Linked DNA regions of Drosophila melanogaster. Changing the gene in region 4 together with the main gene of any one other region gives a genetic interaction. Each region holds a gene or a part of one and is shown on either strand. Other genes may lie near its edges.

The links.
Region 1: of InR (region 4) and sl, changing one enhances a phenotype caused by changing the other (phenotypic enhancement), as found in Drosophila melanogaster (one study listed by BioGRID).
Region 2: of InR (region 4) and Pten, changing one suppresses a phenotype caused by changing the other (phenotypic suppression), as found in Drosophila melanogaster (3 studies listed by BioGRID).
Region 3: of InR (region 4) and SH3PX1, changing one suppresses a phenotype caused by changing the other (phenotypic suppression), as found in Drosophila melanogaster (one study listed by BioGRID).

Annotation. Positions count from the first base shown.
Region 1 is NC_004354.4:16,347,852-16,357,328, reverse strand, and holds sl (small wing), read right to left. Parts: upstream 7,015-9,477; 5' UTR 6,744-7,014; coding exon 5,439-6,743; intron 5,081-5,438; coding exon 4,600-5,080; intron 4,535-4,599; coding exon 3,681-4,534; intron 3,614-3,680; coding exon 2,543-3,613; 3' UTR 847-2,542; downstream 1-846. Other genes in the region: U2af50 (U2 small nuclear riboprotein auxiliary factor 50), read left to right, coding at 1-34, 112-573.
Region 2 is NT_033779.5:10,254,981-10,263,904, forward strand, and holds Pten (phosphatase and tensin homolog), read right to left. Parts: upstream 6,070-8,924; 5' UTR 5,874-6,069; exon of another isoform or gene 5,605-5,873; 5' UTR 5,274-5,604; intron 5,008-5,273; exon of another isoform or gene 4,711-5,007; 5' UTR 4,596-4,710; coding exon 4,496-4,595; intron 4,434-4,495; coding exon 4,261-4,433; intron 4,194-4,260; coding exon 4,049-4,193; intron 3,936-4,048; coding exon 3,748-3,935; intron 3,677-3,747; coding exon 3,569-3,676; intron 3,418-3,568; coding exon 3,255-3,417; intron 3,194-3,254; coding exon 3,084-3,193; intron 3,014-3,083; coding exon 2,798-3,013; intron 2,737-2,797; coding exon 2,415-2,736; intron 2,143-2,414; coding exon of another isoform or gene 2,138-2,142; exon of another isoform or gene 1,930-2,137; intron 1,527-1,929; coding exon 1,507-1,526; coding exon of another isoform or gene 1,473-1,506; 3' UTR 1,339-1,472; downstream 1-1,338. Other genes in the region: CG5676 (uncharacterized protein), read right to left, coding at 1-34, 98-290, 741-835; Rsf1 (repressor splicing factor 1), read right to left, coding at 7,836-8,438.
Region 3 is NT_037436.4:9,708,666-9,716,420, forward strand, and holds SH3PX1 (SH3 and PX domain containing 1), read right to left. Parts: upstream 5,163-7,755; 5' UTR 5,021-5,162; coding exon 4,268-5,020; intron 3,488-4,267; coding exon 2,835-3,487; intron 2,355-2,834; coding exon 2,063-2,354; 3' UTR 1,757-2,062; downstream 1-1,756. Other genes in the region: vsg (visgun), read left to right, coding at 5,886-5,958, 7,079-7,557.
Region 4 is NT_033777.3:21,615,378-21,621,883, reverse strand, and holds the start of InR (Insulin-like receptor), read left to right. Parts: upstream 1-2,562; 5' UTR 2,563-2,862; exon of another isoform or gene 2,863-3,157; intron 3,158-6,143; exon of another isoform or gene 6,144-6,506. Other genes in the region: E2f1 (E2F transcription factor 1), read left to right, coding at 188-315. UniProt on the Drosophila melanogaster protein: Has a ligand-stimulated tyrosine-protein kinase activity. Binds 3 insulin-like peptide ligands.

The DNA.
Region 1 (9,477 bases), on a different chromosome or scaffold from region 4:
CTGTGAATATGTCGATCTTAGCATCACAGATCAGGTACGAAACTACTTCAAAATTGCAAACAAACACAATCTTAACTCTAACTCTCTTTCGATTCCTAATAAAATTTGTAGTCGATTGCTGGCCTAAATGGAATGCAGCTGGGTGACAAAAAACTGATTGTCCAACGAGCCAGTGTGGGCGCCAAGAATGCCCAGAACGCGGCCAACACCACGCAGTCCGTAATGCTCCAAGTGCCGGGCCTGTCCAATGTGGTGACCTCTGGACCGCCGACTGAGGTTCTTTGCTTGCTCAACATGGTCACGCCCGATGAACTGCGGGACGAGGAGGAGTACGAGGACATCTTGGAGGACATCAAGGAGGAGTGCACGAAATACGGAGTCGTGCGGAGCGTGGAAATTCCACGTCCCATCGAGGGCGTCGAAGTTCCCGGTTGCGGCAAGGTCTTTGTCGAATTCAACTCGGTTCTCGACTGTCAGAAGGCGCAGCAAGCACTTACTGGACGTAAATTCAGCGACCGCGTTGTGGTCACATCATATTTCGATCCCGACAAATACCACAGACGCGAGTTTTAGATACAAGTAAATCATATATCTCACATTCACCATTTGTCCAATAAATATCAGAATAAAAGTAAAATTTTGACTACGAAAATACGAAGATACCATGAAATAGAAAGGGATAGTCGCTTATTTCATTGTGAGCCGGAAGTTGGAAACGAAAACTCCAAATGCTTCTAATGGGTTGAAACTGTACGTGAGTTTAAGGGTATATAACATAACTACTTCATTCGGTGGCTTCCTCAATTCTCAGAAATCCAACATATAGAAACAACTTTGTATATATATAGACAGCTAACGCCGGATAAACATTTATTTGGCATTAAATAATTATGAATGTATACGTATGGTGTGTGTTTACTGAATTATAAGGCAATTACAAAAACAGTTGAAAATATCTATTAGACGTACAGATACAAATCACTTAAAAACGGAACGTACAAATGAAATACATTTTGGGTACATATACACATACATATATACTAAGCATGATTTGCTAATGCGCTCAAACGCGCAAAATGTCCAAATTAGAACTATTGTGCGAATGGAAACAGCAGAATGTTTGTTAAATAATTAAATGCGAGTGCAAGACAAATGATATCGATCGTTTCAGTGGGGCATTCGTATGGAATGCAAATAGTTTCAGATTAAAATCCTAAATGATTCGCATAGGGAGCACAATTTCCACTTCTTAAATCGACTAGTGCATTTTATGAATATCTAGATATATAAATTATATAATGCATTTAGTAATAATACGTCTATTGAACTTAGGCTTTAGATATTTAGATTTCGCAGTTTAGAGAAGAAGCTAAGTTAGAACTTTGATTTTATAAAAAATAGATATCTTTGAGCTATATTATTATTTTTCAAATATTTGTTATTTTAGCAACAGGTGTACTTCAATAGTTAACGTTCAAACATTTAAAATTTCGATCATTTCGAATTTTAAGGCACGTTCATTTAAATGTAATTGAATAATTACATTTTATTTTAATATTGTTTGCAAACTTTTAGTTTTTGTAACATTAGCTACAACAATCGTGGTTAAATAACATAGACACAATTATGTGGTATATCGTAATTGTTAAACAACTGGAAGACATATGTAATCAAAGTGGTTTAAATTTCCTTTGCCCTTTTTTTTTTATAAATTGTATTATTACTTTAAGCTTTAAAAGAGAAAATAAAAAAGGTAAATGCTAAATGATTGAAATGCTGTTTGAGTATTTGTGCTAAGAGAAAGGTCTAAAATAGTTTTCCAGATAACATATGAAAGTGGTCTATTTTCTTCAGTTAAAAGTCTTTAAGAAGATTGTAATATAATACTTATGAAAAGCTGATCCTGAAACTGAATATCAAATGCCCATTAAATTGATGCCAATTGAGCTGTTTATGAATTGTTTCTATTTCTAATTTTGGAATCAACTTAATGTACTTAACTTTTGATGGTAAAACTGGTAAAATGGAAATAGCTCAAGTTCCCTAAATCGAAATCAAATCAAATCTGGTTTGCTTATGCTTATAATGAGGTGACGAATAGTTAAAACATATTCGTATCATTCTATTCTCCTGAATCAATCTCACGCACAAATACAACATTTAGAGGACAACAGACTTGAATGCTTAGTGTTATGGAAAAGTGTACAAATTATACGGATTACATAAACTTGATTTCAGTTCCAGGAGTTCAGAATTCATTGTTACCATTTGAATACTCATTGTATAGTATGAACTAACCATAACTGCTGATGTGTATAGAAAGTAATCTAAATCTAAATCATACGTTTCAGATCCTAAGCTTTTTAGACAAATTACAAGTGAGAGAATCAGGTTCATAGTTCGATGAAATGTTCTTATGTACAAGTTGTTGATAAATTGCTTTTGCGAATTAAGTTCGCTTTCCTTTTGATCTAGCGCAATTGTTTTCGCAAACACTCGATTTGGAATCATTGATATTGATCCAGCTAACTCAGCAATCCTCTTACGGTGCGGTAACATTTGCTATCTTAATGTTGATCAGCAGGGACGATAATTCCAGCTCCTCGCTGAACTTATTTCGTAGGATGACGCTGCGATAGCCCTGGCGAATGCAGGTCAGCGGATAGCACGCCTGGGCGATGAAGTGCGTCTCGGCGAACATATCCTCGTCCTGCACTTCGAAGCGAAGGATCGCAAACTGTGGATTACGCACGTTAAACTCGCACGATTCATTCCACACCGGATTGAAACCATTTTCATTGACTTTGGTGCGATACTTAACGCCCGTATCAAAGCTAGCGCCAATCAATTCGACCACGATCTGCGGATTGTTCGATTTGCCGCCCCGGAATAGATGACGTGCGGCTATCAGACGTATGCTAACTTTAACTTCGCTTAGGCCATCGCACAGCGGATTGTTCGGATTGAAGCTGTCAGATTTCATGAACGATGGCTTTAAGATATAGCCACATTGTCCATTATTCCGAAACTTGGCCTGATTCAGCTGCATGGCCTTATCGCCTGTCTGATAGTTCAGTGCGATCATCTGGGATCCAACATTCCAGAATGGCATGGGATTAAAATTCGACGAGTCCAGGCGCTGACCCTTCGGATACACTCGGCTAATCTGATTGCGATGGTAGGAGAGAAACAGTTGTGTGTTCTGCTGGAAGAACTGCTTTTCGGCCTTCGTTTCGGGGAAACTCGACATTTCCTGAAATATCCACGAGTGCTCGCGGAACGGCACGCTGCGGAAGTAGATAATCAGATCGGACATCTCCTTGGCCACCCGGGCAGTGCGCTCCTTTTTCCGCCTCTCCGATGCCAGCTGACTGGCGATAAGGGCTGCCTCCTGGATTGCCTTTATCCACTCGTACGCCGTCTCCTGATTGTCGAAGCCAATCACAAACGGATTCTGCATCGTTGGCGTTTGTATCTGCAGCTTGAAAATAATCCCCGGATCGTTGGACTCAAAGAGCGAGGCAACAGCTCCGAAAATCTCAATGGAATCGGTGCGTCCATCCGTGCCCTCTTCGTTCAGCGAATTGTAGTCCTCGGTAGTTGAATCGATAACCTAGACATTGGAATTTTCAAGAGTTGAATATAGTTGAATTTCAAATAAATCTATATATGCATCTCACCTTAACGTAGTTTGCCGGCAGATGCTTCTTGATCATGCCACCATAATCTCCAATCCACCACATCGAGTTGTCCCTCTGGACATTCGTTATGATGGCATGCTTGGGAAAAGAGAGTTCGTCTGGCTTGTTCGCCTTATAGCTGTAGAGCGCCTTGCACGTGACATTCTCCTCCAGATTGGAGCCCATGTAGTTGGAGGCACCGTTGTCATCGTGACCGCCACTATGATCACCCTGTGCCGCCTCCGCTAGCGCCTGACGCAGCAGCTCCTGCGACACCGGATGGCTGAGCTTAACATTGCGATAGAGTGGATTTCGGGTATAATAGTTGATCAGCGAGACCAGAGACTCGAAGTTCATTGTATCGATGCCGTACAAGCGTCCCTCCTGCATAATGCGACAGTGCTTGATCTTTCGATTGATTGTGAACGAAATGACAAAAGCGTTAATGCTCTGCACCGATGGCCGCACTAGAAACGAACCAATTTCCAGCCGGTATAGACCCTGTTCGGCCTGCTCCTTGGTGGTGTTCGGATGGAACCACTCCTGATCCTCGTGCTTTTTCGGCTGCGGAACTGGCTCTTTCAGTATAATCGAAAACTCTGAGCTACGCAGCATATTCTTGCGATAATAAACGATCAGTGAGTACAGTGAATCGAATACAAAATTCTCCACTAGATAGTACTTGATCGATCCATTTTCATGCTTTAACTTGATGCGGCAATGATTCGGGCGATTACGTCGCCAGAACGAAAGGCTATAGTCTCCCACAAACGTGGCCGATTCCCGAACCAAAAATGTACCATCGCCAAAGTGTTTGTACTTCTTTAGTAGATCATCAGCCTCCTTTCTGCCACCTAAAATGCAAATTGTTAACGAAACAAATGGAATATACTGCATATATGTCAACCAATAAACGCACCTTCAAGTTTCCCATGGAACCAATTCTCGCCGAAGTGCAGCTCATCGTTGGCCGAGGTATCCTTTTGCTTTTGCTGCATATTGCTGTTTAGGGAGCACGACGAAGAAAGCCCAAAGTCATCATCCTCGGAGTTTCCGTTGCGTGACTCGTTGATCTCAGAGGAGTAGATTAGCTCCTGATGGGTCAGAACGAACTGATAAAGATTCCAGGACTTATCGACCGGATCCTTGAAGTAGAGCAGTCCCTCCTTGAACACCTTGCGCACATTCTCGCCATCGTTCTCCCCATGCGCTCCACCGCCCGCTCCGCCCAACGATGATCTATGGCCCAGTGAACCCGTGCTAGAAATCCCATTCGCGATGTCGTCAAACTGCGGCAACTTCTTGTGCTTCAGGATTATCTTGCGACGCAACTGGTATGGCGATGGCAAGTGCTGCTCGTTTCGATCACAAGGTTGCGTAAGCAGCATATCCCCGAAAACCTGTAATGGGTCATAAAAGGTATAAGTCAATGGATTTTTATGCGATTAATACTTAAAGCATCAAGAAATATCTAATTACCATCGTCTTGAAATCTAAGTAACTAAAAATATTGCTCTGTTACATTTATAATTAGATTCAAACGAATAAAAAGCGAATTCTTCATATTGTCATACATATTCCCAACTATCGAAATATACAAAATCCATTTCAATTATATATTAAGTTAGGCAATCTCACAGAAAGCCATAAAAGAACTCATTATTACAGCGAATGAATCAAAAAGCAAACATGCAGATCTCCTGTTTGCATGGAATATATAAATTGTTGTTATTAATAGATTCGATTAGGTCAACTTACCTCGATCAAGGCCTGCGCCATATTCCGCTGCTGTTCCAGGGAGCAATTCTGCTCTATGGACAATATTACCGGATACTCGGAACTGGTGAACGCATGATCCTTAATCGTCTTGATGACATCCATGAACTTGATCTTGGAGGTAATGGTGTGGCCGTGAAATATGTAGGGCAGATTGTCGGGCCCGTTCCAACAATCCAACTCGATGCAACGGCAGCCCATGCGAAGAGCGCGGGCGTAGGCCTCGCAGGAGGATTCACTGGAGAACTGATCGCCCGTCAGGTAGGTATTGTGCGACGATGCGATCCAGTAGGAGGACAACGGCAGGTTCATGTCCATGAACACTTGGTCGTACTTGCTGTTCCACAGGTCGTTTTGCTTGGAGAACAGAAAGTCGACGAACTCCGGGAAGGTGAGATACGGCTCCTGAACATCACGTTCCACGTCCTGAACAAAGTCCCGAATGAAGGAGGCAATGGCTGCGCTACTGATCTCACTGGCGCTCACATCGCGCTGTTCCGTCTCGAGGAACTGCTTCAGCTCCGCCGGTCGCACCACCTGTTGGTCCTCCGAATAGGGAAAGTTGGCCACTCCCGATCCGGACAAGACGCTGGCAAATCCGTTGGGCAGCAGCAACTTCTGATATAGCCGCGAGAAATCATCAAACTTGAGATCGTGCTTGCGCCGCACATCCTCGGTAAAGTGCTCCATGAACTTGCCGGTGGTCATCTTACAGCTAACTCCGGCCAAAAAGAGCTTAAAGTCCTTAATGGTCACCTGGGCTGGCGACTGTTCCGTGGCCTTGGCGGAATGCGTGTTAACATTCTCGATTTGATAGTACTCGCGACGCAGCCAGCGATCAATTTGCAAGGGATAGGGTGCTCCCAGTGTGTCCTTAACCATGTAACGCAATCCCCGCACCCAATTGTCGGCCTCGATCTCCGACAGAGCCACCACCGAGAAGCTCTTCAGCTTGAAGTGATTGCCGTGCAGTATGACAAAGCACTTGCTGGACTCGAAGCGCTGACAGTCGTCGGCAAACAGGCGAAACTCCTTCGAGTGCTTGCCCACCCGTATCTCGCGAATCTCCCGCAGCTGTATGGCGCCCTCGTAGTCGGTGCGTGGCGTTTGTGTGGCCACCGTTGCCCAGAGCAGCTGTCGTGTCTCTCGTATGAGCATCAGGTGGCGGCGATCCGGACGACGCTGTTTCCCATACAACTTGGTCACGATGGTGCCGCGCTCCAGCATACCAATGGTCTGCTCCATCTCGCCCAGCAGCGGGGCACTCATCGCACTAAAGCAGCTCATCCTGTCCGGTCCAAACGTGTCGATTCCTATCGAATCCAGTTCTCATCCGCTGGCTGCCACAGGTTGTTTCTCGCCTCGCCAACCGATCGCCAGACTAAGTGCAATGCATACAAACTATGGGTGCCAGCGCGTGGAACTATTCGCAGATCAACTGCTCCCTCTCTTCCAACTGGTCGATGCACAAATCACGGCCACTGGGACTCAATAAACCGAGATTAACAATGCAATATCCGAATTGTACCCAAAAAATACCACAGAAGCAGATAAGATAAGCCAGCTGTTGAGGAAAGTGCCAGTGTTGCCAGGCCGTAATGTGGGTACAGAAAATACTAAATCCACGCAAATGGGGCGTTCACACTGCGGTGTATTTCGAATTGTGAGGAAATAAAAAAATAAATTGACTATTTTATTTAAAAGTTTAGCTTAAAAATTGCTCCATTGTTTACATACTTGAATAACTGAAATATTAAAGTGTGACCAGTTTTATCTTTTGTTTTGAAGTGCGATTCAAAAATTCGTTATGTAAATAGTATTCCTAGTTTTGAATAAAGCAAAACTAAGCATACCAACCAAATCGAAGAAGCTTAAAGCTTTTATTATAACTCACCTTATGTAGATAGGAAAATAAATCCCGACCTGAAGAATTCCTAACTAACTAACTTGAAACCAAACGAACATAAGTTTTCTTGATATTGTATTTAAAATAGATTTACAAATTAATAAGCTTAGGCAATTGACTGATTGTTGTTGTCTGCTTTTCTACCTGTTCACACATGAACACGAATATATTTAAAGACTTACAATTTTGGGCTCCGTTCATATCTTATGTAAATGAATCGAGAGCGATAAATTATATTTAGGATTTTGTTATCTAAGGCGACATGGGTGCATTGCTCAAAAACATGTAATTTAAGTGCACACTACATGAGTCAGTCACTTGAGATCGTTCCCCGCCTCCTAAAATAGTCCCTTAGTGGGAGACCACAGATAAGGTCCTCGCCGCTCAAGATAGGCAGATGTGCCCGAGCGTGGGACCTCGATAAGGCGGGGACTATTTACTTAGGCCTCTGCGTAGGCCATTTACTTTAAGATGCGATTCTCATGTCACCTATTTAAACCGAAGATATTTCCAAATAAAATCAGTTTCTTACAAAAACTCAACGAGTAAAGTCTTCTTATTTGGGATTTTACATTTGGTCAATCGAGCCTTTAATCGACTCTGCAGTTTCCCCCTACCAAAGGTAAGGAACTCAGAGAAAGGCCAGCTCCTTTAAGCATCTTACAGCTAAAGGTAGCAAAAATAAGTGACTCTTGTTTCCCCCTACCAAAGGTAAGGAACAGAGTATAAATATAAAAAGCAAAAGATACAAAAGAATCTTTTATGTTTTAAAACAAGCACCTTATAGTCTATAGCTAAAGGTTGCTTTGTGTACCATTATAAATTGTGGTAAGGCGTGCTTGAGGCCATACATCAGCAATTGTGAAATTAAAAAGTGCATAACAAAAGTGCCTTATAAATGCTCTAATAGCATTAAATCAGCTCATAAATAGAGTGCAGTGTATATGCCATAAGAGCATAAATTAAATAAAAAGTGCCTGAAAACAGTGCCTTATAAATGCTCTAATAGCATTAAATCAGCTCATAAATAGAGTGCAGTGTATATGCCAAAAGAGCATAAATGCCGAAATAAATGGCTAAAAAACAAAAAATCTGACTGGACTACAAAAATAATAAAACGTGCAAAAAAAAAAAAAATCATCTTTAAACATCGACGGAGCCTTAAAGAAGAGAAGGAAGTCAAATTCAAAGGAGCCTCTACCAGCAGCAGAAGCAGCAACAACAGCAGCAGCAGAAGCAGCAACAGCAGTAGCAACAGCAGCAACAACAGCAGCAACAGCAGCAGCAACAACAACGACATCAGCTAAGTCAAAACAAGAATTTTCTGTTTATCCAAACACACATATATATATAAATACATATAAAATACATATACACGTACTATATATATTAAGAAATTACAAAAAATTTTCAAAATGATGTCAGAAAAGACTATTCAATTCCTTAAGAAGCAGTCCGAAATTATTTTGGAAATTAGAAAGTTGGAAGTAAAACCAACATTAACAGATGTAGAAATTCTAAAATTAAATGAGCTTCAAAAATGTTTCATTGCTAATCATAGCAATTTGTTAAAGATCGGCGTTGTCGATCATGAATATTTTAACGCGAAGCAGTATGATTTAATAATGATGGTGTTAGAAAAAATTAAAAATAAAAATGAAAAAATTAAGGGCGAGTCGGTAGAAAACACTTTCCCTAAATCAAACACTGTCCCTAAATCAAACCCTCCCCCTACATTAAACCTTGAAATACGTGGTCACCCTGAAAAAGAGGGTATAGCACAAAACAACGCTTTAAAAGTAGAGCAGGCATTTCGTAATAATGTTGGCCAATTTCGAGTATATCTAGAAGATACGTCTAAACTAATAGACAGTAGTCCAGATTTCCTTAAAATAAGGAAAAATAAAATTGAATTTTTATGGCATAAAATAGATAACCTGATTGAACAGGTGAATAGTCATTTTGAGAGTTCGCTATTCGAAGAAGAAATTAGCGAACTTGAATTTGACAAACAAAATATTCTTACAGCCATTAATAGTCGACTCAGTGGCACAATAAATAAAGCTGAAATGTCGACGGTTGTTAAGGCGGAGGAGTTACCAACCCTGCCTAAAA
Region 2 (8,924 bases), on a different chromosome or scaffold from region 4:
CTCTGTCTAATTGATTGTCGACATATCTTTCGGTCTGCAAATTGAGTTCAGCATAAATATAGTAAGCATATAGATAAACGGTTTAAATGAATTATACCTTATCCTTCCAGTTCTTCTCACGACCCAGCGAGGCTTCCACTTTATCGGCGAGCTTATCCACGCTCTTATCCAACTTAGACCAATTTATTTTTATAAGTCCTTCTTGGTGGGCGATTTCGAGCAAGATTATGCTGCCGCCAACTGCAAAGGCAGCAAATTTGCCTATTTTCATTGTCGTATATCCTGTGACCCTGAAAAAATTGTTATATTTTTAGTAAGATAAGATACACAAATTCCAGCAAATTCTATGGATTTCCTTAAATTTGCAACTCATCATTTGGCGCATATACATGTATAGTAAATTGCCGAGTTATCTAGCTTATCTTGTGCAAATTATATCAGTTTTATCTGATTAATAACTCATTTTATTACACTATTTAGTTCTTTTCCTTTTTAGGGAGGTCCTATATTTCTGTATCCCGCAAACAAACAACATTCATTTATACACGTATTTAGAAGTACATATTTGCAATAGATGGAGCGGCTAAGCATTCAGTTGTATATTTTAATTAAAAACGTATTCTGCAGTTATCTACCAGCTATTACCGAAAGTATGCAAAAAATCAATTTACTTCAAATTCCAAAGACAATCGGCATTGCTAAAAATTTAAGTGATGCGCCGCAATGATATAACCACATACCATCCTGATGAAACGCCAATAAGCATCTGCGAATATGCTGAACGTTGGCCAATATCGTTAAAAACTTTCTTAAAAATTTCCGAATAATTAGTCATTTTTAAAATTAGATGTCGACGTTAAGATGCGAAATTCTGACCGCCCAGTTTACGTCAATTTAACACAATAATATATGCCCGTCAAGATAGCGTCAATTTGGACAACATTTTTGTGTTGGGTTTATTGGAACTCGGAAGTGGAACATATGTTAGGGGAATTATGGGAAAAAGAGTAAGAAAAATAACTGGTAGCACTTAACGTAGAAACTGGAATAATCATACTTTGAATATTTATTATTAATCTGATAATTACCTTTGTGAATCCTGTATGCTTTGCACAACAATTGGCAAATTTCAAGAACCTCTTATTATTTATTTATCTTAGCTATTGCCTCATTTGAAACTATTAGTTAAATTCCAATAAAATATGAGATATCCATTTAATCGCTGCACTTTTCGTGTCGAAAACTAGTTTCGAGATCAAAACTATAAATTTAAGTATTTTTTTCTAAACGTCAATTATTTCTCCCCCCTTACTTTAGACAAAAACCCAAAGTTCGAATGAAATCTACAATACAAAATGTACATGAGTTTATTTAAAATAATTGTTAAAACTACTTAAATAAATATCATACAGTATATTTACAAATTCGAATAGATTAGCCAATTACTTAGCAATTTTAATTACTTTGCTAAATCACCAAGAATTATAAGTCCGTAATAAGCATTGATTACAGGTATGTTGATTCACCTGGAAATAAAGAAAAATATTCATTTATTAGTTTAGATTTTTTTGCTCAAACAAGCTTAATGAATTTATTAACTAAAACTCAACGAGAATACGATAAAAATCAAAATAGCATGAATGAATTAAAAGCAGAAGACTTTTGATGATGATGAAACACACAAAAGACACATTCTGCTTCAGGATATTTAGTTTTCAACAGCAACAGTGAAATAGTCGAATTAGTCGAAGTTCGACAGTTCGGTGCTAGTTTTGTTAAATGAATTGAGTAGAAGGACAATGGCAGTGCCCAGAGTCACATACTTATGAAGCGGTGAGGGATGTGTGATGAAAATCGATGCGGATACTGATTAAGGATTGCCGGTTAGTTGACCATTCGAGCCGCAGGCATGGGCTCCCACTCACTCACCTATGTACATTAAATTCTAAACAGATGTGCAGAGCGCAGCTGTAATCGATCGTTTCCCCGTGAAAGGAAGTGGATCTGTGTAAGCCTGTCTCTGCTAGTATACTCGTAAAAGTCTTGGGGACATATAAATCCAGTTCTGGTGGCTTCGTTTTATACATCAAAATTAAGAGATCGTTCAGCCAGAAGTCTTTTAAATCGTCTCGGGTGATTATTCTGGCGAATTCAATAAGTCAATAAGAATATAAATGTGTGGACGATAGCATATGTCGATAAAGGCTATCTCTTTTAACAAATCTTAATTTGAATACTCATACAATACAATTAATTACAAAATCAAACCGATAATGGTCCAGAAATCAATTGAATCGAAACTCTTAGTATTAAATAAATGTGAAATTAGAACAATTGTTCGGTATTACTCGATTAAAACGGATAGATTTTTAGTGAGATCTGGTCATTGAGAGTATAGTGTGCAGCAAACTCACCGGATTCCCAATCTTCCTCGCCATCTTCGGTACCACAGTTGAATTTTGGAGAGGATTGTTTACATGTGATGTATGAATTGTAATTGATGTTCTTATTTTCGTTTATACTTCGAGTGTCAGAGGTGATATGAACTTCACTATTCTGCCATTTGATTAAATCAGTTTTCTTAATGGACGGTTGATTAAATATATGATTTCGTTTTATTTCCTCTTTTGTGGAATCATTCAAGCTTGGTAAAAGAGTTTTGCTATTAGGCTGTTTGCGTTTGCACGCAGTCGAAGTATTTTTTGAATTGGTTGATGTGTCGTATTGAATTTTAGTCTACGAATATTAGATTTATAGATTAAGCATATTGATCGGCGCAAAACGTGTTTTCACTTACAACTATATCCTTATGATCCAACGTTTCTATTGTTTGACTTTTCGTTGTATTATCATTGACGATCGCAGTTAAGACTTTTTTTTCGGCATAGCAGTTTGGAGACAAACTGTCATAGTCTGATCTTTCGAAATTTAAAACATTTTCGTTTCTCTCTTTTTCGGACGCTTCAGCTTGAACATCATTGCTAAAATTCTCTGCCTCAAAAACGATTGAAATCTGAAAAGAGAGCAAGCACATTTATTTGGTAATTTCGCAGCATCTATTAAAATGCTTCGAAATATCCTACCTTGAATTCTTCTGAAAATCTTTTATGTTCACTGTCTTTATGTACATCATCGATTTCTGATTTGCTTAAAGTGTGTATATATTTGTTAACTGTTCCATCGGACTCGCAAGCTAAAGAGAATGTTTAATTAAATCGTTTATTTAATGCATGTGCGATATTAAGTATACTTACGTGAATAGTTTCGTACAAAAAACGTATTTAGCCAAAAGTGACAAATGATTTTATCTGGGGATTTTTTTGTGAGTTCAAATTTTACATCGCCGGAAACTGGTATTGATGGTTTAATGGTCAAAACAAATGATTTTTGAAAATCAATCGGCAAGGTTTTCAGTCTCTGCAATTATAAAAAAAAGAAGAATGTTACTGCTGGTTAGAAAGGTATTCGAAAAGGAACACTTTACTGCACTGAAATCGTGTGAAATATACATTTTTAAAATGCTGTCTATAGTCTATCAATGATGTATCTATATACTTTATATACTTACATCTGGCTTTGCATTTTCTGTGGCTGAGTCGTGTAATACAGATATTGAACATTCTACCATGCCTAAGTTTTGCACACAACTGGACTCCGAGAAGCGTATTTCACATACCTGAGATACAAAAAATGCATATTTAGATTTTGTACGGCGCTGAATGTGGCGCTGCTGCTGGAAATACTCACGTTAAGGCTTACTTTCGAATATGGAACACTTGAACAAACTAGTTTGGAAAAATACTGAACATATCGACGCTGAGATGGGATTGTCACACCTTTTCGGTCCTTTGTACGCTTCTCATCATACCACGCTAATGCCTCGTCGGCGGATTTTTTAATTCCACTGAACACTAAATATGCGCAGATCATGGTACCTGAAATGAAAAAAAACTGGGTTAGTTTTTTAGCCCTACAAATATCGAAACAAGATCATAGTGTGCCATGATATTTATGAACTTTCGCACAAAATGTTGAACACATTTCCTACCGGTTCTGCCCTTTCCAGCTTTACAGTGCACGGCTACAACATTGGACGAATCTTCCTTGAGCCACATATCAACATCACTGCAAAATCGTTGTATTAACTCAATCGTTGGAGGGTTATGATCATCGAACGGATAAACAGCTACTCTCTGTAATGCGAAATAGTATATTTTACATATTTTACGCCGACAAATAGAAAAAGTTCAACAAAATTACCCCGCGAAATTTAGCAACGTCGTAACTACGCTCCGAGCATAGGTTATAGATTTTGTAATGCTGGGCATGATTCTCTTCCAATAGCTTAAAGACATCTTCCAGACGGTTTCTGAATAGGCCCTCTAGTTTATCCGGTGCTGGATAGCCCATGGCAATTATGTTATCATTAATGTCTGTGGGTAAATAGATAATTTAATTTAATATTCCAATGATTGCGGTTGATTCAATAACTTACATGTTAAATCCAAATCGTATCCTTTTTCTTTGTATCGTATACGTTTTTTACTCACTACATTGCGTATCACGTTGGACATTAACGAAATAGTGTTGGCCATATTTTTAAGGTTTAAAGACTTGTCTTTTTTATTTAAATTAGATTAGCTGCATCCATTCAAATGTATTTGGGAACCAGTGCTTGTCTTCTATTTACTCCATTGCAAAGTGTACGTTCTGAAAGGAATGTAAAGCATATTAATTAATATGCATATGATTCTAACTAATCTGTTTATTTTCCACAGCAAGTTAGAAAAGTATTGACTCAATTCAGCTTAGTTTTCTACTGCGAATTCAAACCTAAATCCTTTAACAGCAGACAAGTTTCTAATATGGTCAATAGAAACTGCTTAATTATACTGTGCCAAGGCATTCTAAAGGGATATATGGAACTAATATAATGGGCTTGTTTTCTCCCGATCCACTTAGGTTGTTCTATATAAACTAATACTTCTTACTCGGCTAAGATATATTCCTGTTTGCAGTTCTTGCTTGGATACATATTTAAGCACGTACATACACATACAGACAGAGGTGCACTCTCTATAGGAATAGTTCCCTACTTGTTTTCCCAGGAACAGGTAAAGAGTTAACTTCAGTTCGGTTTATATATCCACAAATATCCTTAGCACAAACATGCACACACTCACACACACTCGCACATGCACACGCACATATGTACATACACACACACACACACACAGGCAGGCATTTGCGGCACACACGTGAAACATACTTACATGTATCGGCATATTATCAAAGATAAACAATATAACAATCTTCCGCTTGGCATAATACATTCAGATTGGTTGTCAAATGGTCCTGGTTTTAATTGTAACTGGCTAACAGAACAGAGTTCTTTTATTGAAGCCCAACGCACGGCGATTTCGATACGAATTCGAGCAATTAAATGGGTTCGTTGGCTGAGGGGGCGATTTTCGAGGGGTGAAAATCAAAATCAAAATCCGTTTTAGAAACACCGAGCAGTAATTTCGAATTACTTAACATAGCGACTGATTTGGCAACTGTTTTTTGTTTTATCTCGCCGAGTAGACACACTTTTTTGACAAACTGTTTGCGAATGGTGGTATGTATTGTAGTTAGAGCACATATGCATGTACAGAAATATGCAGATATGGATGATGGGCATGTGCACATATATGCACCGATTTTTGTGCATTTATGTACATATTTGTTTAAACAAAAACATATTTACAATTCCACAGACATTTTACACATTTACACTATCAGCACCACACGAATATATGTGCCCACTGTTTAATACATATGTATGTATGTGCATATGGGTATGTTTAAGTCAATAAGCTAAATGTTCCAACCGAGCAGGTTCTGGCTACTGCATTTCAAAAAGCTATCACATGTTTTGCTCTAAGCCACGAAATTTCAAATAAAACTTTTCAATTATGTGTAAAAGTTAAACAGTAGCGCTCATGCTCTATTAAATGTATTATTAATTTATCAAGCGTGAGATCCACAGGGTGTTTACGGCGAGCGATACCACCACAAGATTTGAGAAAATGTACATCCAGTGCTATCGACGTGCGTGGTGCCCTCTCGATTAAATTGTGTATGCAAAAACTATCGATGGGTCATCGATACAACCATTTATTTTTTAGCACTGCGGTTTTAAACAATATGTAATTATCTATGCATTTATTTTAATCTTATTAAACAACACACATATAACTTCATGCTACCAAAAACATGACTACCAACACATCTTTTACTCGAGTTCTACCCACGAAACTAATATTGCTACAGCTATTAAAAATTCCATTTCTTGCAAAACCAATATTATTTTTGGTATGCAATTTTTTAAAACGCAAACATTTTTAAGATTTACGAATACCTTTTATTTATTTTTTTTTCCAGCCATTGAAATGCTATTGAAAACTATCAGTTTGGGTAATACCATTAATGTAATCCTCTCTTTTTTTATTTACAATCGATAAAAGTGCAACAGGTTTTTTATGGGTATTCGATTATTTTGACATAAATATGATTGGAATTTAAAGTTCCTTTATTCAAAAGCAAAACCTGCTATCTGAATAATTTAAAATTTTAAAAAATTTTCAAAACTTTAAAAATTACACTCGTATCTTAAGGCTAGTTGGTTTCCGCAAAATGAATTCTTGGTACCACTTAATTCTCAACTGTTGACTTTAATTCGTAACTTGAATAAATCAAAATAGGCCAATCATCAGTAAATGTTATTGAAGCAAAAAGGACTCGAAGACGAAGAAATAAAAACAAGTGTTTTGCCGTGTTAACCAATTTCTCATTTATTTGTCTCGCTTTTTATTTGTTTAAAAAGTTTCTGCAGTCCATCGTTTAAATATTTAATAGCCCCTTGGGCTAACTAACTAATCGTCGTTATCATAAGTATTGCTTAGCTATGTTTTGAACTTTAAGCAATCTAATAAATCTGAAAGTGACGTTAAGAGATACTCCAACAAATGACCTGTTAATTTAGTTAAATGAAATAAAACATAAACATTAAAACCGATGCGCTTAATATAGTTGCTTGCAGCATTGGCTAGATTTTTGCCGTTTCGACCCAACTACAATAAGTTATAGATTTGTATAGTATTTGTCTTAATAGGTAAAAAGTTAGATCGATGGATAGTACACATGCAATATTTCTTACCAAAACGTAAAGTCAATGATTTGTTTGTAAACACTTGGCGGTTATTGCTTTTTAGGTTTTCGAGATTCAGAAAACAAAGCAGATTTTCGAAAACGCTTTCTTACCAGTTTCGGACTGCTGACTGCTTCATTTCGTAGGGTTTATTACGATGGTTATAAGAGGTTCTGTAAAAATGAACACCTACACAATTCCGAGTTCTCAAAATTCTTTAATGTTTTAGACCAATTATTTTGCGAAAGCTTTTATGTATACGAGAAACTGTTCCGCATTTCCTTTATTAAAATTGCGTACTTCTAGATTTTGGTTTGACGTTGTTCGAGTCTTAGCGTATTTTTCTTACTAGTTTTCTACGTTATAACTTAAATTTTACGTGCTTGCAATTGTCATGTTAATGGGTATTCGTTAAATAAATAATGAAGAGACGACGACTATCAGTTTTTTGTTTTTTCTTTTTTTTTTATCATTCTGTTGTTGTTGTTGATGTGGGGGAATGAGGGAATCTGTTGGACGATCGAAAACGATCGAATGCTACGATTTTAAATGTTTGAGTCTGCGTTTTACGGTCGCGCTTAAGTTATTATTTATTAATCTTTACTCATAGGCAATCCTTAAGCAACTATGAGTGGTGTTGTCATTAGAATCGATGGTTTCCCACCGGCGAGCGGGACCTGAAGCGTCCGGCCGACTGACCACCAGTGCGTCCGTAGCTGGCGCTACTTCCGCTGCTGTAGCGGCTGCTGTCGCGTCCACCGCCGTAAACCTCGCGGCGATTGAAGCCGCTGCCGCCGCCCTCTCTGCCATTATAGCTGCTTGCACCTGATCGGCCGGAGCTATAGCCCCGCTCCGTGTGCCGGCTTGAGGATCCGCTGGATCCGCGCTGCCGGAAACCGCCTCCGCCGCTACCACCGCTTGTGATGCTGTGCCGGCCAAAGTCGCCGCGTCGTCCGCCCCTGTCCATGGGTCCGCCACGCCTACCCTGGCGTGGCCGCCCTTTTGAGATCTCCACGCGCAGCTGGGAGCCGAGCAGCTCGGATCCGTTCAGTATGTCGCACGCCTTTTCGGCGTCGTCGCGGTGCTCGAACTCGACGAACGCAAATCCCGGCGGATTGAAGGCTATCCACACCGAATTCAGCTTGCCATACTTTGTGAACTCCCCCTCCAGATCATCCTTTTTCACTTTGTCGGTCAGATTGCCGACATACACCCGTGTCCCGCGCTGATCACCCATGCTGGACATCTGGATTCACTGTTTCTGATTCGTTTTCGGAGTTATCCTGCAAATCGGATAGCTGCCTTGAAAAATAAATAATCAATAAGTTATCACCACCGGACAATTTAGCGTTTGTATCTATATCAACTTTTCGACCAGGGTGGTTAAACTCGTTGCAAAAATGCTAATTTTCAAAAATATCCTCGCATTTGGAACACTGAGAATGGACGTGTGTTGGGATGTATTTATAGTTTAACGGCCCCGTAAAAAGGGACTTCCCGCTGCTCTAGTGACTTGTATTTTTAATTATTTTTATACTTTGTGCTGGGAAATGTATCATGGTAATCTGAATAATACGTCAATTTAATTTATATAATTTTATAAATATTTGTATGATCTTTAGTAAAGTAAATAAAGTAAAACAATATATAAAATGTTTGTTAATATATAGCCGTGTACTTTTATATTTTCTTCAAACCCCAAATAATGAATAATTATATTGAACATTTATTA
Region 3 (7,755 bases), on a different chromosome or scaffold from region 4:
AGCAGCATCAGCAGCAGGACTACAGCAACTATCACGCCTCGGCCAAGCAACAGCAGCAACAGCAACCACAACTTCCAGCAGCCAACAATCAAAACCACAGCAACAATAGTAGCAATAAATTTTGTTATCCAACGGCAGCGGCCATGGAGAATATGTTCCAGAACAATCAGATGGCGGCCGCTGCCGCCGCACGCGAATCCCTGCTGAATTCATATCTTTATCAAAAGGATAGCGATGCCGGCAATTATATGGCGGAGCAGAGCTACTGGCAACAGCACCAGCAACATCACCACCAACAGCAGCAGCAGCAGCAGCATCAACAACAACAGCAGCAGCAACATCAACAGCAGCAACATCAGCAGCAGCAGCAACACCAACAACAGCAACACCAACAGCAGCAACAGCAACAGAAGCAGCTCCAGCAGCAGCAGCAGCAGCATCAATGGAGCGCCAACAACGGCAGCAGCAACCAAAGGAGCAACAATTATGCCAACAACTATGCGGCGGCAGCCGCTGCCTCCATGTACATGCAACACTTCAATCCCTACATGCAACAGAAGGCGGCGCTGCTGGCGGAGAAGGCTGCCCAAGCGGCGGCGGCGGCTGCAGCGGTCCAGAGCAGTAACGGTAGCAATAAGCACGGACGCTTCGGCGGTGACTACGGCTAGGAGTCGTCCGGTGGGTTCACGGTTCAGCTAACCGAAGCGCAAGACACTTTAGCGCATAAACATAAACATATAGGCATATGTAACACTTGCGTGTAATAATAACTATATATTTAGAGGCATCGTATAGGCCGTTTTACCGCCAGGAATTGGTAAAGGATAAACCATGATTTTCCTTTAGTTTAATACACAGGAACAGCAACAACAAGGTAACCGGAACGCAAACAACAATAATTTATAAACAACAAACAAGGTGGTAAACACAAGCAGAGAGCAGTAAACATAAAAAAAAACTTAAATTGAATTAGTAAAAATTTGTTATTGGTAGTTTGTTAACAAAAAAGAAAAACACAAAAAATATGAAAAGAAAACAAAGAGGAAAAAACAAAAAAAAAACACGACAAGTAAACAAAAAATAATGTAGAGCGCGAAAGCGGAAGGCAAAAGCAAAAAAAAACCTAATTATTGTATTATTGTTAACCAAAATCTATTATTATTATTATTATCTCAAGCTGCGTTATATTATTATTATTATTATTAACTCGTGTGTCTGTATATAGCGTTTTTATCTAGATGTATTACACTTAGTGATCCCCCCACAACCCGATTCCCATCCCTGGAAACCCACATCCGACTATCCTCCAAAAATGCCAGGACAATCCTTGGACCCTTCACCTTCACCTATGACCTCGCCAAAAATCAAACGAAAACAAAGCGCAGCGCTAAAAGGCAAACAACCGATTTTGTATCCATTCCGAAATGTGTTTCTTTTTGTTTTTACTAGTTATTACGCTGATTATTTATGAAATCATCATCCCTAACATGTGCAATCTAACACTTATGTTCTAGATACAAAAAAAAAAAACAAAAAAACCAAACAAACACAAGAATCACAAAACTTATTAACGCGAAAATGGCAAAGCAAAAGCATGAACATGAAAATGGAAAAATAAAGAGAACCCTTTTAGAGAATTTCGCTGATAAAGGCAACAGAATAGCAAATCGCCACCGAGACTTTTAATTCAGCGGGTTTGGTTGGATCATCCAAATATGATGATTATGATGCAGATGATGCACTTGCACAAGTGGTTCTGTATAAATATAGTTATATTTGCATCTCAAGTTCAGTGTATAATAGGCATATAAAAGTTAATTTCTGTATAAATACGCAACTTTTCACTTACAAACAACATTATGTAATATTTTTTCTGTTTAACATTTAGTTAGAACCACGCTTAAAGTAAGAGTTCCTTTCGAAGGCATTTGAAATGCGCGCGTGCGAATGTTTTCAGCTATGTATCTCTGTGTGGAAGTGTGTGCCCGGTGCGGTTTCTTTGTGCTCCCAGCCGTCGATCTCTTCAGCGATGAGTCGTCGTCGCCATGGGCCAAGGGCCAATCTACTCAATCTGACGGCTGGCCTCCTGCAGGCGCGCCACCACGCCCTGGTAAAACTTAATCTGTTCGGCAATGAAATTCTTAAGCGTATGCTTCAAATGCGTATCCCGCTCGCTCTTGAAGTGGGTCAGCTCGGCCAGCACCGTGTAGGAGACGACATCTGTGCGCCGGTTAACGTCGTGCAACTGGGGATTATTCATCCTGCCCTCGCCGGCCAATTTCTCGCAGTCCTTTCGCTTCTGTATGGCACCCTTGTGCGTGGAGAAGATGTCCGGAAAGCAGTTGAGAACGCCCCTATTTGGAAAAGTGAAAGTAAGAATTAGATAATGCTTCTAGATCGTTCTATAAACAAATAGCGACGGAAAGTTACCACATTCTCTAGAAGTTATATATATATTATACATATGTATATCTATGTATATATTTCTTGTTAAACTAAAGGTCAGTCAGCGTAAGAACCACAATAATCTAAAATAAACTATTGGCCAACAATCGATTTTTCTCGCGAAACTATACATTGATTCATTGCTTAAAAGTAAACAATTTGAGTTCTTTATAAATAAACTTGATACCTTAAAAACAATTTACAAGAAAGTAATCTATCGAAAATTTTTAATTGTGAGTAATTCAGCCATATATGTATGTGCCTATTGTAACTTCTAGTATAGAAATGACACATGTCGTGGAATTCCCATTTTCAGTCAGCTAATCAATTACTGATGAATGAAACGAAATGTGCTATGCTTCCCATCACTTATAGAGACGTCAACCCACCTGTAGATGTGAAGTCGATCCGAGAGGGGAATCCAATCATGCTTTGGCTGGTCGCCAAAGGCCTGTCCAATACCGATAAAGATGCCACCGATGCGGCCGACGCTCTCGGAGAGCGGAACCGCGTTTCGGGTGGGCGCACGCCGCTCATCGATGGCCAATGCCTTGGCCAGGTCGGAGAGTCCGTCGCCAATGCGCTGGAACTCCTTTTTACTCTGCGACATGGAGCGCTTGGCCATGTCGTTGGATATATTGTTCAGGTTGCGTACTGCCACGTCCATGCTGTGTATGAACTGGGTGCCCAGCTCCACCTGTGCGTCCACCTTAGAGTGCAGCAGGTTCTTGTCCGGCGGCGAGATGGCCAGGCAGTAGTTGACGCCCATGTAGGGATCCCGTTCCGCCTTGCGTTTGCCCGACTTCCAGATCTTCTCGTCGCGGCAAGTGAGGAAATGGTACCAGACCTCGCATTTGGAGATCACCGGATGGCGGCACACCCAGTCGACGAACTCCTGCAGCTGCACACGTCGATGCTCCACGAATTGCTCCTCATAGCGGCCGGAGATCTGCTTGTCCGGCAGCGGTGGCACCGGAATCAGGCAAAACTTGTCCACCAAACGTTCGTGCAGCCAGTCGAAGTGCTTGTAGCGACGTGACACCTAACGAAAGGGAAACCCAGATTAGATATGACCAATTAATTGTGATTGGGTCACGCAAAGAGGAGCCCGGAGCTCGGGGGGTCAGAGCTCGTTGCTGAGTCATTCCCCGTGGCGGTTCGCAAGCACAAGCAATCATCGCAGTGCCGCTGGCTACCAGTTGGTCAGAATTGCCCCCACAAAGAAGAATTTTAAGTGCTTTTACGACTCTGTAATGCTCTACCTATTTGTATGTGTATTTTAATGGACTGAAAGAACTTTACAAAGAGCTTTGATTTCAGTTCGAAAGTAATGTCGAGCATTTATGCTTCTCATTATTGTAATGAATAAAGTTGATCGAAATTATCAAAATACTATTTAAGTAGCTAATAAGAAATGAACTATAGCTTTGAATAGTATTAAAACTTTAACAAATAAAAAGATAAATTTAGCCAATTTTCAGAGTCTTAATAAAACAAACCAATTAAAGAAATGGATATGATCTCCATTTAAATTTTCTCAGCAAAAAAGGGTCACTTTTAAGGTCAACTCAGTTGGAAAATGTTGGCCGGCAATTAGTGCGGAGTTTCGATAAACAAAGGATTGGTCTTTCTTTATTCCATTCCATCTGCTCGTGAGCACATGAACCAGCCCAAATTACCCTTGGCAGAGGGTAGCGAACACAGCACAGACACATATTATCAACAAAATATTGCACCCGTAGTTACACACTCATGCGCCAACGGTCGGAGCTTTATCGTATTGTGTTGTTAATCACGGCGATATCAGGGTTGGCCAACTTACGGATATGTTGTTGAAGCTAGGCGTCAGTTGGTAGGCAATGAACGTCTTCATCCCCTTGAATTTGGACTCCTTTTTGGGACTGGCCACCACAACGGAGTAGGGCGAATGGTTCTGCGTCCACTGGTAGATCGAGTCCTCCACCTGTGTAATGTAGGCCATCTCGCATTCGGGTATCTTCTCCTTGGTGCTGGACAAGCCGAGTATATATGAATCGGAACTTTTGGCGAACATGCCCTTTTTGACGGTGCCAGCAGCACCAGTCCCACCAGCCACGGAGGCCAGTGATTGGGTATCATCGTTGGGCGCGATGGGCAGGTGTTTGTTATCGTAGTCACTGGTGGAATGCGACAATCCGCCAGCGCGAGCCGACTGTCCCGCAGACTTCTGGCCACCTGGACCAATTTCCGAGTACGTGTCATTGTCGTCGCTCCAATCGTCCTCATCATCCCAGTTGCTGCCATCATCATCCGCCGTCTGATCGTAACGCGGCAAAGGGGGCGAGGCGAAGGGATCCGGAACCTGTGGCACCGACGTCGCTCCACTGGCGCTCAGCTTCTGGGCTTCGGCCGCCGACATCACCTCCACGTACGCAGCCGGGAAGAGGCCAATCTGGCCACGGGCATTCTTGCCCTCCCACCAGCCTTCACCCACATCGCTCCGGGTCACCGAGAGCACGTCGCCAGTCGCGATGGAGAGCTCCGAGGAGCCCGGCTCCCCGGTAAAGTCGTACATGGCACGCACGTACGAGGTCATCTTGGTGCTCTCCTGGTCGTTCCTTTACGCTAATTCGAGTCCTGTCTTCACAGGGGCCATAAACAGACAAGAAATATCTACTAATTCTGAATCACCAAGTGTGAAGTGTTACCGTTTCTTGGATTACGGAATTAAACTGACACTGACGTCTTCTTCGCTCTGCAGCAACAAGATATAATGATGATACAGCAATTTTATTAGGGGTATTCCCCCAACACACCTGAATTCTACACTTGGAACAGAGGCACTCTCTAATTTGATAAATAATTATAAAAACTTCATATTTATACTGTACTACTACTATATACTCACTAAAATAAAATAATATAAATGGTACATTTAAGTCGATCAAATTAAATTAATGAGTTATTGCGTTATCAAGAAAGATTTAGCTGTGAAAAATTACTTATGTTTATATAGATTTAACCTACAAATATTTCAAATAAATTGCTAGGTGGGTATACAATTTTATAGTAATAAATCAAGTAAAATATAAGGACAAATTTATGATCATAATTTTATATTGCACCAAATGCGAGGCGTTTCAACTACATTACGGTCTCCCCCTACTGATAAGCGCCGAGTGCCAGGGCTGCAGAGCACGGCTCAGCTGTCGATGTATCGGGATGCATCGAAGTATCGAGTTGGCATAAAAGAATCTGGTCTTCGTGTCGTGTTATTCATTCCTTAATTGCGCCTTGCTTTAATTTGTGGGTGAGCGAAATCGGAGCTCGGCGACATCGCCAGTTGTGCAATACTGACTCCAGCGGTATCTGTTAATCCCCAACCACTTCGCAAACGTATTTTCTTTGCCTTGCAGATTTGCTGACTTTGTCGTTCGAGTACTCAGCGTTTAACGACCACAATGAATCGGCAGGCGAAATTCCTAATCTTGTGCCTCTTTGTGGGCCTCTTCTCCGCGAATTTGTGCGAAGAAGGTGAGTCTTTGATCAAATTACACCGAATTAAAATCGAATTGAAGACACGCCGAACACTCATTTCTCAATTATGCACTCGGACACACACACACACACGCTTGCATGTGCATGCGTACGTGTGCGCAAACCCCTCGCGTGTGTGCGCCGTGCGGGCATGTGGGTGTGTGTGTGCATGAATGTGCGTGTGTGTGGATGTGGGGGTTTTTTAAATGCCAATTCCTATATTGAATATCAATTCTCCGGCCATTTTCTCTTACTCCGACTTTGGGGGAATGTTCTCCGCATAAGAACTGCAAATCTACAGCTTTCCAAAAGAAACTTGGAATTTACGAAAGTCCGTAAATTGTCACATTACCATACGTTAATATTTGTGGACATTTGGTAAATATGTATTTACCGAGCTGTAACCATATTTTGTTCGCAAGCATTTATTTAAATCGTCACGTCCTAATTACCATACGAAAATATTTGTACATATTTTAGGATTTAAAGAGATTTTGACCATATTTTGTTGACAAACAATTTAATGTTTACTTTTTCAGCTTTCTTAAATTTCCATTCCTTAAATTCCATTATTGCATACAAATAAATATCACCTAAATGCTGCCTATTTTGAATATAGTAATCTTTATTTTCCGAACCAAATCAATTTGTTTTGTTACGTTTTTCTATTTTGTTTGACAATTTTGACATCATTTACATGTGCAATGGAACTATTTTTATTTTCAATTCTTACAAAACATGTGTATTCGTTGTGCTTTTTGAAATATTGGAAATCGATCAATAAGAGTCGTTGTGAACTTATCATGCTTACCAATTTATTTGCTTTTAACTTTGGAGTGACGCATAAGTTTTTATCTATAATATTCGTTGCTGATTACTGCACACAAGCCCTGTTTTTTTGAAGCTATGATAGGCGCTGTTCTTACTTAAAATTATTTTTTTACGATGTATTCATTCTGAAATAAGAAATATGAACGTATCAAAAAGGGTTGATTAAAAAAAACCACACATTGGGTTCATTACTATAATATTTACTACACTTGAGTCTATCTGATGTGAAATAGTTTTACGAACTTATCATAAGCTAATATTTATAAACTCTTTTTATTTGCCTTAGCAGTGACCACACCGGCTCCAGCGGACACCACCACCCAGGAATCCAAGAACACCACCACTCCGCCGGACACCACCACTACTGTGACGCCACCGTCGACCTCAACCACGAGCACCACAACTGAAAAGACCACGACGACGCCACCAATTACCACATCGACTGAGAAGACCACAACTTCCACTACTCCAGCCAGCACCACCAGCAGCACCACTCCGGCCAGCACCACCAGCAGCACCACTCCGGCAACGACCACCACCACGCCTGGAACTACATCTACGACCACTCCGTCTCCGAACTCGACCACAACTACGCCGCCGCCACACACATCAACCACTCCGGCGCCGAAGCCCGTGCCGTGCGGTCATTTCGATGGATCCTCGTTCATTGGCGGCATTGTGCTGACTCTGGGCCTGCTCGCTATCGGCTTAGTGGCCTACAAGTTCTACAAGGCCCGCAACGAGCGCAACTACCACACCCTTTGAGCCGCCACCGCCTTTACGTCGGCCTTCAATGCGGCAGCCGGAGCTGCGGCGGCCAGCAGCAGTGCCGCATCCACGGATGCGGAGCGCGTGCGGTTTGTCCAGCCTTCGATACCGCTAAGGTCGCCGCCAACGCAGCCGCCACCACCACCACCCACCCACATGGGTGGCAGTGGTGGTGGTGCGGCTGCAGCTCCACAA
Region 4 (6,506 bases):
TGCATCCACAACATCTCTCGCTCTATCAGCTCTCAGCTCTCTCTCTCTCTCTCTCCTATTTTATGGTTGTCCAGATGAAATCGTCAAATAACCCAATGTAAAATCATATGCAGCCAGCCCAGCCCCGAACTGCAGAACATTTAGTAATGCCGGAATATTCAGTAATGTGTTGCATTCTTATTTACAGACTTCAGCAACGATATCGCCTTTGTGTCCATCAATCCGCCGGACGACAATGACTATCCGTATGCGCTGAACGCGAACGAGGGCATCGATCGGCTGTTTGACTTCGGTTCGGATGCCTATGGACCCTAAGAGGAGACGTCCACGAACACAATCACAACCACACACACACACACACACACATGTCTACAAAATTGGGATTCTGGGGGTGTTTATAATTTTAAATTATATACAAATGGCAAAAGAAAAAAAAAGATACAAAGCCAGCCAGCAAATTATTAAATTATTTGATTGCAAATACTAGAAGCCACAAAAAATCCAAAAACAAAACACAAAAAAAAGCGAATCAGCAAAACTTAATGAAACTAAGTTGTGTGTACAATTTTAAGCGTAAAAATATATACATTTAAATTTATAACCCAAACTAATTTAAGCGAAACAAAACGAAAACACAAAATCTACTTTACAAAAACTCAGCCTCACGAGAGAAATAGGGAGAAGTCGTAGCAAGAAGAGCCACATTTTATAAGCAAATTTTAATTTTAGCCTTTAAAAGAAAGCAAAAAGAATCAGGAATACTATTTAAACGATTGGATAACACACAAAAAATGCGAATACTTCCCTCTTATCAAACAACTTTTTGGGCTAGAACTGTCTGTAAATTAGTAAAAATAATACCAACACACACACACACACACACACTTATATAATTTTAAATTATAAAACAAAATAGTTGTAAAGCCAATCAACATTAAACAATAAAAAGAAAATCAATTTCAAATTGTAAAATATATCGAAGACATTTCAAATTAATATGGAGCAGTAGTAGAAGAGGAAGAGAACACTCCTGGGCCCCCAACAAGATGGCTTTGGTTCCTGTTTTAGTGACGCATGCAACAGAATCCTCTTCTCTTCATTTGCTTGGATTTATCGATTGATTTTTAATTATAATATTATTAAAGCTATAACTATGTATCATAATTTGTTATTGTTATAAAATTTAAACTGTAAACACACACATGGGCCCAATAGCAGTTTATTCATAGAAGCCAAATCATCCCACAAAACAAACAACCAACCACTTAACAGAGTCAACTACAAGTACATAAATAATTATTTAAACTCTCTCCTAGTAGTTATATATTTAACTAAACGATAGATAAAAGCAACAAACAAATGCAAATCATACAATTGTAAAAAAAAATCAATAAATAAACGAAGGAGAACCGCAACAAGCCGAAACCACTGTATAATTGTACGTTTAATTTTTATAAGAGAAAACACACTTGTTAGGTACTTTTCTTTCTTTCCAAAAACAAACACATGAAAAAAAGAGAAAATAAATATTACAAAAACGAAGGAAACTTTAAAATAAACAAAATAAATTTTTAAAACCGAATGTCTACTGTTTCAATTAAACTGAATATTTAAGTTTTTCAAGCCGAATTTAAATAAGGTGAAGTTTGCCATGGTCACAAGAAGTGTTTTTTGCTAACTTCTTTTTTAACTAAGCAATTTTGAATCATCATTTGAATGTTTTTGGTAAATATTATTTTTTATATTAATTATTTTTAATAAAGTATAAAGACTGTACTGTTTTATGCATCTTTTCAAAGATTTTTTTAAACACCAAGTTGAATTTTAAATATGTGATCCATTCCTTGGATTTTGATCATTTTACCCATGAGTAGTTAGCAGACTTGTCTGCATGTTTTAAAACGCCCGCCAACTGGGAAAGCAGTGCATTTTAATGCGCCCGCCAACTCGGAAAGCAGTAAAACGTAGCACTGCTTGCAATTTACGATATTCAAGTATGGCGCACTATCTTTAAACTTGAAACTTGCGTTTCTAAAAGCCAAACCCCAAAAAGCAGATCCTAGCGAAATATTTAAAATTGGTTTAAATTGGTTTTACAGCAGCTCCTAGTATTTGTAGTTAGTTAGTATTTATCACCTAGGCGGGGAGTTCAAGGAAATGATTATGCTTGATTGCATGGAAAGTAGATGCTCTTGGACAATGATTACATAAAAATATTTCCTATGTCATTAAGAAATCGACACAATAATAGCGCCATTATTTTATTATATTTTCTAAATTTTTCGAAAAAAAAGTGATCCAGAATGTAATATTTGCTAATGACATTATGCTCATATAAAAGTTTTTACAAATGGAATATCCGTTTTTAGTGCGCGAGGATTCAGTATTGGGCTTCATGGCGTGTTGGTAAACGAAGAGCTCTGCTATAGGTGGCGCGCTAGTGTAACAGCCGGCACTAACAGAGTTCTGTAAGCGGTCAAAAGACAGAGTTCGAAAACGACCGAACAGAGTTGGAAAACGCGCTAAACCGAAAATCGCGTATACAACAAGGGTAACGGCTGGCAGTGTTTCACGCGATTTCGAAACGTTGAGATCGTTGCCGCGGTCGCCGTGAATTGGAATTGTGAGTGTGTTCGTCGTGCGGAAAATCATCGCTGTCAAATAGAGGCCACAGTGAATTGCCGATACCTAATACTGTGCAAGGCGAAATTATGTGCCCCAGCATTTCGTGAATGAAAAGTGCGAAAATACAAAATACAGAGCAATAGTGCGAGGTCGGTGGAGTTCGAATTAAAGAAATTCCACGAAATACAAGTGCGGGCGATTCTCGTGTGCTGGCGAGAGTGCGGCTTGTCCGGGTGTGTGAGTAAAATTCACGGTAAATAAATAAATAAAATTTGTGTACACACACATACACACACACACGCGCGCTCTCCTATTATTTATATATACACAGCATGTTGTGAAGTTGCGGCGCAAAAAGAAAGCACGCGAATAAAACATAAGAAAATTTAATTACGCCTGCGTCTGGGAAAGTGCGTCGTTCTATTTTGAAATCGATACCAAAATAAAATACAAATAGAAATAAAAATCAAAAATTAGGTGACACAACAACAACTAGATCAACAATGCACGACAACAAAACCGTTGCAAAGGGGTATGTAACAAAAACAACAAATAATAATAAAATGAATAATAGTAGTGAGAACGTAACTAGGAAAATACTCGTGAAATTACTACGCAGCAGCAATTTATGCCAAGTTGTTTTTGCTCTCCTCCTCCTCCTCTCTCCGCCCGGTTCCTCTTGTTCCTTTTGTTGTTGTTCCATATCTATCATATCTTGGGCTGTTGTTGTTCTTCTTCTTCGCACACCGCTTTACGTCTCCGTTTTGTGAATGAGCGGCGCAGCCAACATTGTTCTCTTTTTCTCTCTCTCTCTGTCTCTCTGTCGTGCGGAGAGCGGCTGCGCGAAGAGAGGCGGAAAAGAAATGAAAGAATTTCGATTGCTGCCGGTTTTTGTTTTATTATTGTTGTTGTTGTTGTGCTGGTTTATTTTTTATTGTTGCACGCATTTTGAAAAGTGGTACAGATAAGTTTTCCATTGCATTAAATTAAGCCAGCACTAAAAGAGTAACTAACATTATTATTAAAAATAGTATTTCATGAAATTACTTAGTACTATTGCTAAAGACTGTCTCCTTATTGTCCTTGGTAAGTTTTAAAATTAATCATACAAGCGTCAATAAGAGCTATTCAATAGAATTTTATTAAATATTTATAGAATTAGTATAAATTATTAAAAAAAACAAAACAATAAACTTCAAAGAAGTGTCTTAGTCGACTTCCATTAAACACCCATACATTTTTCCTTAAAAGGCGCTTTAATATGTATGTTGCTCTCACCCCCTCTTCAGGACCACCTGCAAAACTCAATTTTTTATTTAATATTTCAAAAATAAAATTGAACTCACCTGTTGACTTGTCATGATTTTCAAACCTTTATAATTCTAAAGTTATACTTTGGAAAATGTGTTGTTTTTTAATGTATGGTGGACACCACACTTTCAGCGGTTGTCAAAAAGTCATGACAGTGCTGTTTTTTATTTTATTTTGGAGCTCGTAATTAGAGTGACCAAAATGCTGAGTAAACCAGCCAAATATATCCAGTACAATTTTAAAGCTCTCACTTGCTAAAACAAATCCCAAAAAGTTGATCAAACTATTTGCTCAAACTGTGACCTTATAAATCGGGTTTCTTTTTATCTTTAAGGTATATGTATAAGATATCCATTAAATTTAGTTTAATGGAGACTTTGTAAAAACGTTTGGAGCTTCTACAATGTTTTCATTTTATAAACATTAATTATTTAATGCCAACTTAAGCAGGTTGAGACTTTAATGACTTAAGTTGACATTAAAAGTGGGATATCCCTTTAAAAGAACGAGATAAAGATACACCCACGATTTACGGGCTTTTGATTTTGTGTTGTATCCGCAACGGAAGCAGATCAATAGATCGGGGGTCTGTGGGTGTACTGAAATAGTGATAAATGGGAAGATATTTCCCAAATAACTGGCGTGGAGATATTACGGGTAAGTGGTTTTGTGGGCGGGAAGGTGGAAAATGGGGAAATGTGGGGATGGGTCCGCTTGCTAATTAAAAAGCATAAGCACTAATTGGCGTGCCGCTGCGCTTGTTGTTGCTATTTGCGTTGCCGTTGAACTGCCCACTTGCTGTGCTCTTATTATATTCGCGTTATTATTGTATAATAAGAGAGAAATGCCATAAAAAATTGGGAGGTTGGGTTAAAACAACAGGCAAAACCGAAGTAGAAAAAAAAAACACCAGAGAATTGCGCATTTTTGTATTAATCATGCTATATTTTTGACGAGGCCCGAAGAATGTTGGCCAATGTATTTGTATTTGTGCGTAATTTATTTATTTTTAAATCGAGTTTGCCTGCCTGCTCTCTGTGCATTTGTGTGTGTGTGTGTGTGTGTGCGAGCATAAGTGCGAGTGTGTGTGCGTGCTGCGACAAAAATAAGTCGCCGCAATAACAAATTGCTGAAATAGAACCAAAATAAAGCAGAAGAACAGAAGAGATCTATAGAGGATGAGGCAATGACGGAACCCGGGCCAAGTTTGTTGTTGTTGCGCCTGCTTTTGTTTCTCTGTATTTTTATTATTTTATTTTTGTGCATGTTATTTCTGATATTGGCTTTTTAATGGTGTGGCTAAAAACCGGAAATTGTTTGTCCGGCTATTGTTGATGACGTATGACCATCGAGTTGTTGGCGGCTTTGGCGCATAATTTGGCCACACTAATTAACAGTGCCGAAACGAACAACAAAAACACACATGCCGCCACCAACACGAATGCCTTTTAAAGCGAGAAAAAACAAAAAAAATGCTCTGACCACATGTCTAAACGTAGCTGCGCGCAGGCCAGAAAGAGAGGGCACGATTGCCGAAAGAGAGTGGCCGGTGATAAGCCTGTATGTGTGTGTGTGTGAGCCGAGCGAGACAAACAGACAGGTGTCATTGACCTTTTTCGCTGCGAAACAGCACACACACACACACATTCACACAGCCAAACAATTTTGTGTGCACTTTTTTCAGCTGCGTTTGCTTCTTTTCCCTCTCCACCCTCTGCCCCTTTCGCACTCTTGCCCTGCTGCCGCTGCTGCTTTTTCTCCTTTGTTGTTGCTGCTGCCTTCACTGCTTATGCTGTGAACTGCTTGGCCTTGAACTTAGACGCGCGTCTTCTAATCGCTCCACACTCCCTCCGCTGCCACGCCCACACATGCATGCACGCACTGCGATGTTGTTGTTTTTGTATTTATTAATGGGACCAGGAATGGAGACGATTCGACATAATTAGTATGATAATTGAACGAAATATGTGTTTCAATTCATTCGTTTTATACCTTCCATAGAATTAATTTTCAATTGGTTTTAAAACAAAATTATAGTTTTCTGGTGCAATAGTATTAAATTTTTCTACTAATTTATTTAAGCGACTAGTTCTCAAATACAAGTTACAAATATGTATGCATGTACATGACCGATCACCAAGGTGATTGGGATCTCTCCTTCTTTATTGTTATTATTGCACTGAACAAGCTGTGCGTTTTGGATCATGCCCAAATTGGTATTAATTACGCAAGCCGTGTAGCTGCCATTTGTTTTGCCATTGCGAAATGCAACGTATTTGCAGTGAGTCAACTTGTTTTCGCTGTACCAGCCGCACTTAATTGTGTTTTTATTTGCATTCAACTCGCGGAAAATCGAATGAATCGGAATTGATTGTTCCAAGAAGCGATGCGAGGGCAGCCACAGTGATTCACATGGGGACTCGCATCTCTTAACCGCTCAACCCGCCATCCATACGTCCATCCAACTAGCCATCCATCCATCCGCGGCGCAGACATAGCCACCCACCACCCATCACCCATCATTATAAGCAGCTGCTCCCGAATCTTATCATGGGAAGAGGGTCTAAGGT